2 linked regions of the Oryzias latipes genome follow. The protein of the gene in region 1 interacts with the protein of each later gene in a pairwise test. Links are inferred from orthologs where the notes say so. Each region holds a gene or a part of one and is shown on either strand. Other genes may lie near its edges.

What was found.
Region 2: the proteins of garem1 (region 1) and growth factor receptor-bound protein 2 interact in binary tests that used the Homo sapiens proteins (3 or more experiments, as listed by UniProt). The link is inferred for Oryzias latipes from reciprocal best matches to the Homo sapiens genes GAREM1 and GRAP2.

Annotation. Positions count from the first base shown.
Region 1 is NC_019878.2:10,713,101-10,717,217, reverse strand, and holds the start of garem1 (GRB2-associated and regulator of MAPK protein 1), read right to left. Parts: upstream 2,801-4,117; 5' UTR 2,276-2,800; coding exon 2,155-2,275; intron 1,458-2,154; coding exon 1,317-1,457; intron 1,126-1,316; coding exon 995-1,125; intron 1-994. Other genes in the region: ncf2 (neutrophil cytosol factor 2), read left to right, coding at 3,958-4,117.
Region 2 is NC_019866.2:2,931,174-2,934,673, reverse strand, and holds part of growth factor receptor-bound protein 2, read right to left. Parts: intron 3,444-3,500; coding exon 3,352-3,443; intron 3,236-3,351; coding exon 3,116-3,235; intron 2,070-3,115; coding exon 1,883-2,069; intron 1-1,882. UniProt on the Homo sapiens protein: Interacts with SLP-76 to regulate NF-AT activation. Binds to tyrosine-phosphorylated shc.

The DNA of each region.
Region 1 (4,117 bases):
CGATTCACAGATCAAACCACAATTCTTTCCATTTAATATATTATGAATGAATGGTCGCCTCATGTACGTGTTTTTGTTGGATCTATAAACATCATTTACACATTTGTTCAGAACAGGATACAAGAATCAGCAAAACATAAATAAAAGCTCAAATATTTTAAAAGAAAGAAAAGGTATTTGTCACTTTAAATAATGTCACACTTGTGTAAGTTTTTCTGTAACCTTCCTGGTCAAATTCAGTAGTGTACAAAACATAATCGTCACTGTTGCTTTGGATCGTTTAACATCCAGTCCTGGAAGTGTTCTCCACAGTTTTTCCATCTTCAGAGTTTGGCTGACTAAAGTTCCAGTAGATGGATGATAAGAAAACAATAAATGAAGACACAGCAACACCTCAATAAAAGTGACTCTGTAATAAATAGGAACTGTTCTTTAATCTAAACTAACAGCAGAGTTTCCAGCAAACATATTTTATTAACTCACTGTTTTCATCTTTAGTGGAAAACACAAAAAACCTCCACACTTTAGATGAATATTTTGCAGACATGTTCTGGTACGTCACATAACTGAACAGAAGATTTTAATAATATTTTAAAATGTCCTATTCATTCTAATTTTTCTTTAAATTATCAACTACTTTTTAAATAAAATGTTTTTTTCAGAATTTATTTCAAAATTTTACTCCCATTTTTTGTATCTGAGAAAACACTTGATAGCTTTACTTTGAAAACGAGAACCTTCTCTGACACTTTACTCTGAAAATTTGTTTACTTCCTGTGACAGAAGTCCATTCAGTTTGTTTAGTTTTTAAACTTAAAATCCAACATTTTTCTGTATTTTACAGTGATAATTTATTTTTTATATATATTCCACTATATTTCCACGTCACAAATATTGGTACAGTTTTCTGGAAAAGATGGCGTATATCTGAGTATTCGGATGCTCATCTCGGTCCTATTCATCAAAATGATCACTTTGGAAGGGGAAAGTGTACCTTAACATTAAACGTGATGTCCTCCATGACGTACACTCTTTCGGGGAAGGCTTTGGCCACCTCCTCCACACTGTTGAAGTATTGCACGGGCTCCTTGACATCTCTGTCCTGTTCCAGCAACTTGAACTGGCCTAAGCAGAACACGAATGATTAGTGCTGATATTTTCCATCGCTTCTGCCATCACATGAGAAGTAAGCAGTTGGTGGTTCATCAGTTTCTCAAAATAATCACTCAGAAAACTTTTGAAAGCATACACGATGAATAATTTAGATAAGAAAGAGCCATTTCAAAGGAAGCACCATCTTCATGGCGGCTCCTTACCTTCATAATGAACTGGGATCTCTATTTTAGGCCCAATCACATAATGTCCCTCCTCTAGACTGTGAGCAGTTATAGTTGTCCACTGACGGCAGGAATGAATCAAGAGGTAGTCGTTTTCTCTGAGGCCCTCAACCAACTGAGCTGCAGAAAGGAAGTTTAACAATCAACCAAAGTACACAAAGAGTTTATGATACAATCAGGTCTGGATGAAGCTTTTAATAATATAGTCTATCCAGTGAGTTGCTTCCTGAAAAGGAAAATATTAAGATTTGAATAAATAAATGTGTCAGAAATTACACATAAAAATGTATGTTCAACTTACAAATAAAGTTTTTTAAAAATGAATCAAGTACTGGACACGAGCCTTTTTACTTCAAAACATTACATTATGGATAACCATCACCTGCTAAAAGAGACATTTTAAAAGGTAATTTAAAATCCATTAGACATAATCCCACACAATTTCTGCATGTTTTATACATTTAAATTATGAAATGAAAAACACAAATTTAACTAAGTAGATGTTAACTTTTGTCAAAGACACTTTCTAGTTAAATAAAGTGTAGACATACTAGGGGACTCATGATGTTGTGAAGGCAATGTTGTTGTTTTTTTACACCTTCAGCGTTTTCCTTTGATTAGCAAAATAGCCTTTTCGTTTTTACTTCATGACCTAAATTCTTATTCATTACCATCAAGGTTGCTTTTATATCAATCAGTTTATAGCATTATTGCACTAAAGCGAATCTTTGTTTTTCATTAGCTTAGACTAGAGCTGATAAGCAGAAGCCTTAACTGGCTAGCATGGTAGCTATAAAACTTGAAGTAAGTTACTAACCGTTATCCAGCATGACAATTTGTGGCAACTTGTACGCACTGACCAGCTGGTCTAGCGGCAGAGACGTCGTGCTCCACGTTACATCCTTTAAGTTATTGTACAACATCGTTCCAAGGTCCATTTTGCTAGCTTAAGTTAGTTAGCCACTTTTTGAGCTAACTGGTGCAAAACACGGTCACAAAAAAGCTTTCCCGAGCAAACTAGCTACACAATTATAGCTGCTCTTCATCTATGCAGTTGTGTCATGCACATGACGTTCCCAAGTCGTAGCTGCATAGTTCCCTCTAAGTTTCCCTACGTATCCAAAAGGTTCGTTGTTAGAAAAAGTAGCCAAGCCATGTTTGTTTAGTAGCGACGGCAGTATCAAGCTAACTATTCTAACGGAAATACGTCACTTTCTACAATTTTATTTTTATTAAATAAAAGCCTTTCCCTTTTCCCCCTCCAATTAAAATTGATGAATAACAAGATTTAAATCCCGGAACAACAACTCAAATTATAACAAAATTATACAAGTACATAGCAGGTGATAAAACATTAACAAAAGAAGGGAAAAGGCCAAATAAAGTGCATTCTTTAGGCTTTTCCATTAGGTTTAATTTTTTATAACCACTTCAATAATTTCACTGCGTTTTCTTTTGTTTGTTTTTTTGCTTATTTTTATTTATTTTTTACTTCTCACAAACAATTGAACTCCTTCTGATAAAATAGTCTGGATTACAAATTAAAAATCTATTTTAGTAAATAAAATATATTCCAAAAATTGTGAAGTTTCGTATCATTTCGTAATAACCAATCGATACATTTTCTAACTTTATGGCTTAGCTATTTTATATCTTATCTAATTTTACATCTTAGCTTTTGAAATAAAAGTGTTTGTTCCAACAGATGTAGAAATTGGATTTTAATGGAATGGAAGAAGTATTTACTATTTACTACATACTAAAGAAAATGCATTTAATTAATTCAAGATAAGTACCAGAAAGTATATTTTTGTCTCGCTAAAAGGTTGGGGAAATAAGAAAAATTTTAAAGAGTGTTGGCCAACAATTCAACAATTTTAAGGACAAGAGAAAAAAAATCAAAACTCTAAAATAATTTATTTTCTTATAACTTTGTTAATGTTTACACTAATCTATATAACTTAAAGAAAAAGTCTATTAAAACCTGAGATGTAACCTTTTTTTTTTGTTTGTTTTTTCATTCTATTTTGTTTTGCAGACTGTAATGCCAGATTTAAGCCTCAAACTTTGCTAAATAATGTTAAAATAATGTTTTAATTACTCATAAGTTTTCATTTATCTCTTAAGGCACATAAAATAAAAGAATAAATTTAAAAAACATTGAGGTAATAAAATAACCTGTTCTTTTGTTTTGGCTAAATATATGGGTTCACACAATTTTTATTAATTCATTTTTAATCAGTGAAGTTTTGGAAAATCTTAACTTAAGGTAGACTTTGTGATGAGTAAATGAAAAAAAATGAAAAAAATACGGTATTGCTAATACAAATCCATGTAAATCATAAAATTAACCAAAGATAATGATGAGGTGGGGAGTACTACTATTGCACTTTACTTCATTATTTACTCTTAAAATACTACAGTAAATATTTAAACACCCATAATTTTTTCAGATCAACGATTCACAGATCAAACCACGATTCTTACTATATTGACTTGGACTCAAGAGCACATGGCGTTGATGCAAATTCATTGAACGTTGTCATCAACTTCCTGTTTTTCATGGCATAAATCAGAGAAACTTCCTCAATTCAGTCACTGTGTCTCAGCGGCAGCCAAAATGTCTTTTGTGGACACTCTGCGACAGTGGGATGACGGCGTAACCTGTGCTGACAAACAGGATTTTTCGGAAGCTCTCCGGATTCTCTTGGCCATTCCTGAGCCAAACTCCAAGATTTGTTTCAACATCGGCTGTCTGCATCTGCTTAACCAGAACTTGG
Region 2 (3,500 bases), on another chromosome or scaffold:
CAAGCTTTGATTTGGTCTAGAGATGACGCGACCTGTGACCCTGAAGCCCTTCAAGAGGAGCTGCCATTTTCAGGAGGAGAGAGCCTCCTGATGCTCGTCGCCTCCTCACGCTCCTCATTTTATTCCCTGAACTCCATCTGCCTGAACTTCTGAACCATCTCTTCAGGCTACTCGAACCTCAGCATGTTAAAGCTGTGTGTGTATGTGTGTTTGTGTGCCTCTGGAAACGCTTCTGAACTTCTGCTTCAAACAGAAACTAGAAATATTTTAAATCTCCTTTTTGACCCACTTTCAAATGAAATTCCCCCCCGTTTCTACAGAAAAACGAACGTCTAGAAGTGAATTTGACGTCTAAACTTTTATCTGAGATTTAGAAAAAGACAACCAAAAGAAAATACATGATAAAGACATCATTATTTTAATTTTATGATAAAAATAAAAAAGTGATTTTTTTTAAATACAAACTGCATGTTTACCAGTTTTAGATTTTCAAATTAAAAGCTGTGGACTTTAAAAGAAGGCAGGCTCCTGAAACAGAAGCCCATCCATCCATTTTTTGTACCACTTTGTCCCTTTCGGGGTCGCGGGGCTGCTGGAGTCTATCCCGGCTACTTGGGCGTAGGCAGGGGATGCCCTTGACAGGTCGCCAGTCTGTCGCAGGGTAGAAGGTCCACAATCACACACCCATGCACTCTCACACTCACACCTATGGACCATTTAGAGTTGCCAATTCACCTATGAAGCATGTTTTTGGACAGTGGGAGGAAGCCGGAGATCCCGGAGAAAACCCACGCATACACGGGGAGAACATGCAAACTCCACACAGAAAGGTCCCCCATTGATGTAGTGTTTTTCATGTCCCCCAGCCGGGACTTGAACCAGGGGCCTTCTTGCTGTGAGGCAAGAGCGCTAACCACTGCGCCACCGTGCAGCAGAAACAGAAGCGACACTGAATAATATCTAGAAATGACGGCAGTTTCTGTTTGATTTTGTGGTTTTCATCAAGTGTCTTTTGGCACACAGTCCTCCTCCTCCTCCTCTTCCTCCTCCTCCTCTTCCTCCTCCTCCACTTTCATGTTCTCATTAACACAGTATTTTCACTTCTGGTTTTTGGTATCTTTTTTTTACACAACCCCCTCATGCAAATAATGTTTTTGTAGATATTTATGTAAACAAATGGCTAAAAATATTGATAATATAATTTCACTGAATTTAACATACCTGCTAAAAAACGAATTATTCTTTATCTTTATAGAGAACATATATTTACAGAGTCACAAAAACTTTTATTGCTTTATATTTATTTTGTTTTTATTGCTGTTTTTCTCATCTCCTAGTTTGTTTTAGGCACACTTTTTTCATTATTTTTTATTATTTTTTTATTATTTTATCTCATTGTGGACGTGGAAACTGACGAAAGAAAATCTTTTCTAAGAAGCAAAAACAACTATTTATGATCTTGACTCAATTCTCTTTGTGCTTATAGTGGGCAATAAAGGTCTGCAGGCTGTGATTTGTGTACATTTAGTGCAGTTTTATTTAAAATAACGATAAAAACAAACCAAACAGAAGTCTTCTTAAATAGAACTTGAAATGAAAAGAGAGAAACTGAAAGGAAAAGGCTCTAAAATCTAAATCTTTGTCTTTCTTTAGAGTTTTGATATTTTATTTTGAAAATCATTTAGGTAACACACGCAGACGTGGAGTTAAAATTTTTCTTCACTTTATTCTGAAACTAAACTGTGTTGAAGGAAAGTTGAGTCAATCTATGATTGGAAAAGCTGCCTGGTTGCTATGGAAACGTCTTCCCTGCATCCATCTAAAACCTCTTAAATTGACCATTTATTGCGCACGCATCATTAGGAAAGCAGGTGGCGTGTACCTGTGCGGAGGCGGGGCTCCGGCTGTTGGAGCTGCCGTCCTTCAGGCAGATCTTCCTGGTCTTGGAGATGGACGTGGTTTTGTAAAACTCCACCAGCTTGTTCAGGGACATGAACTTCTCCGACCACAGGAAGTACTGGCCCTTGTTGTCCCTCATGACTTTGAAGTGCTGCACGTCGCTCTCATGCCTGAGCGGAGGCGGAGACGCGCATTAGCGTAGAGAAAGAAAAAAAAACCACCCTGGAGACTTGGGGGCGGGGCTAAAAATTCACCAGAAGAAGCAAGCAGACCTCAGATTTTTGTTTTGCTTTTTTAAAAGCATTTTCAGAAATACCTTTAAGCTTTTCCTGTTGGAGGAGAACTTCTCCACCTCTCTGAGATAATGTGGCTAACGTCTGCAGCGTGGACATGGATTCAAACCCTCGCCGTCCGTCCACACACTTCATGATCCACATTCGAGTGTGAAGGCTTTTACTCTGAAATTCTTTGTTTATCATTTTGATTTACTGACTTACTTTGAAAATCTGAAGGTAGAGACACGTCACGCTGACTTTTTTCTCATTTATTCTTTTGTTTTACGTCCATCTCTTCCATTTATAAACTACAAACTTAAAGAGCAGAAACTCCTGAGAATAAAGGGTGATTAAAAAAATGTTTTTGAGACCAAACCTTAAACCGACTAAACGTCTGACAGCAAATGAGCCAAACAGGAGAAGTGTTTGCATCAAAACAGATGTAAACAAACATTAAACCTCCTAATGGAGGTGTGAAGAGAGAAAAAAATCTTATTTTATGGACCCTACGCTCATTCAGTGACTCCTCAAAGGTCAGACGGGAAAATTCAACACTTTATTAACTATTTTAATCACATCGGTCACTGATAAACAACAAAAATCCCTTACTGTCTATAATTTTTTTAGTAAAAAACAAAGTTTGACAATAAATGAAGATATCGCTCAAAATAAAAATAAAAAAAACGGCTCAAAAGTTTTTTTGTTTTGATTCAAACGAAGAATCATAAATCCTCAATAAATTTCTACATTTTTTTTTTAGTTTGTGTGATTTTTAAAAGGAAACTGAGGAAATCCAGCCTAAAGAAAGAGGTTTGAATCATTCGTTAGTCGTGTTTGTCCTGAGACCTTCAGTTCTGCACTTTTTTCCGGCGGTGGGTCTCAGACTCACTCGACCGTCAGCTCGTTCCTGAACGCTCCTTCAGCCCAGCGGCGCCACCTACTTGACAGAGATGGAGAAGTCTCCTGGAGAAGTCTGGCAGCCTCGGATCACAAAGTCTCCCACGTCTCTGTGCCTCAGGATCTCCTCTGCGCCGCTGCGGCTGGTGTTCTCCTGAAACCACCTGAGCGGAGACGCCTGCAGATTATCTGATGCAAACGGCGGCGGCGGCTGCTGCTGCTGCTGCTGCTGCAGCTTCAACCGACACGTTCCAGCGCGAGAGCACAGGACGGTTCTTACGCTGGAAGCTGGATCTCCAGGTAGTTCTTCGGAACGTAGCCTTCCTGTCCGTTGAGCTCCGCCTTACACCACTCCTCTTCGAAGTTTATAATCTGCCACAAACACAGAAGAGAGCCGGTTCGGTACCGAGAAGCTGGGACGAGGGCCTC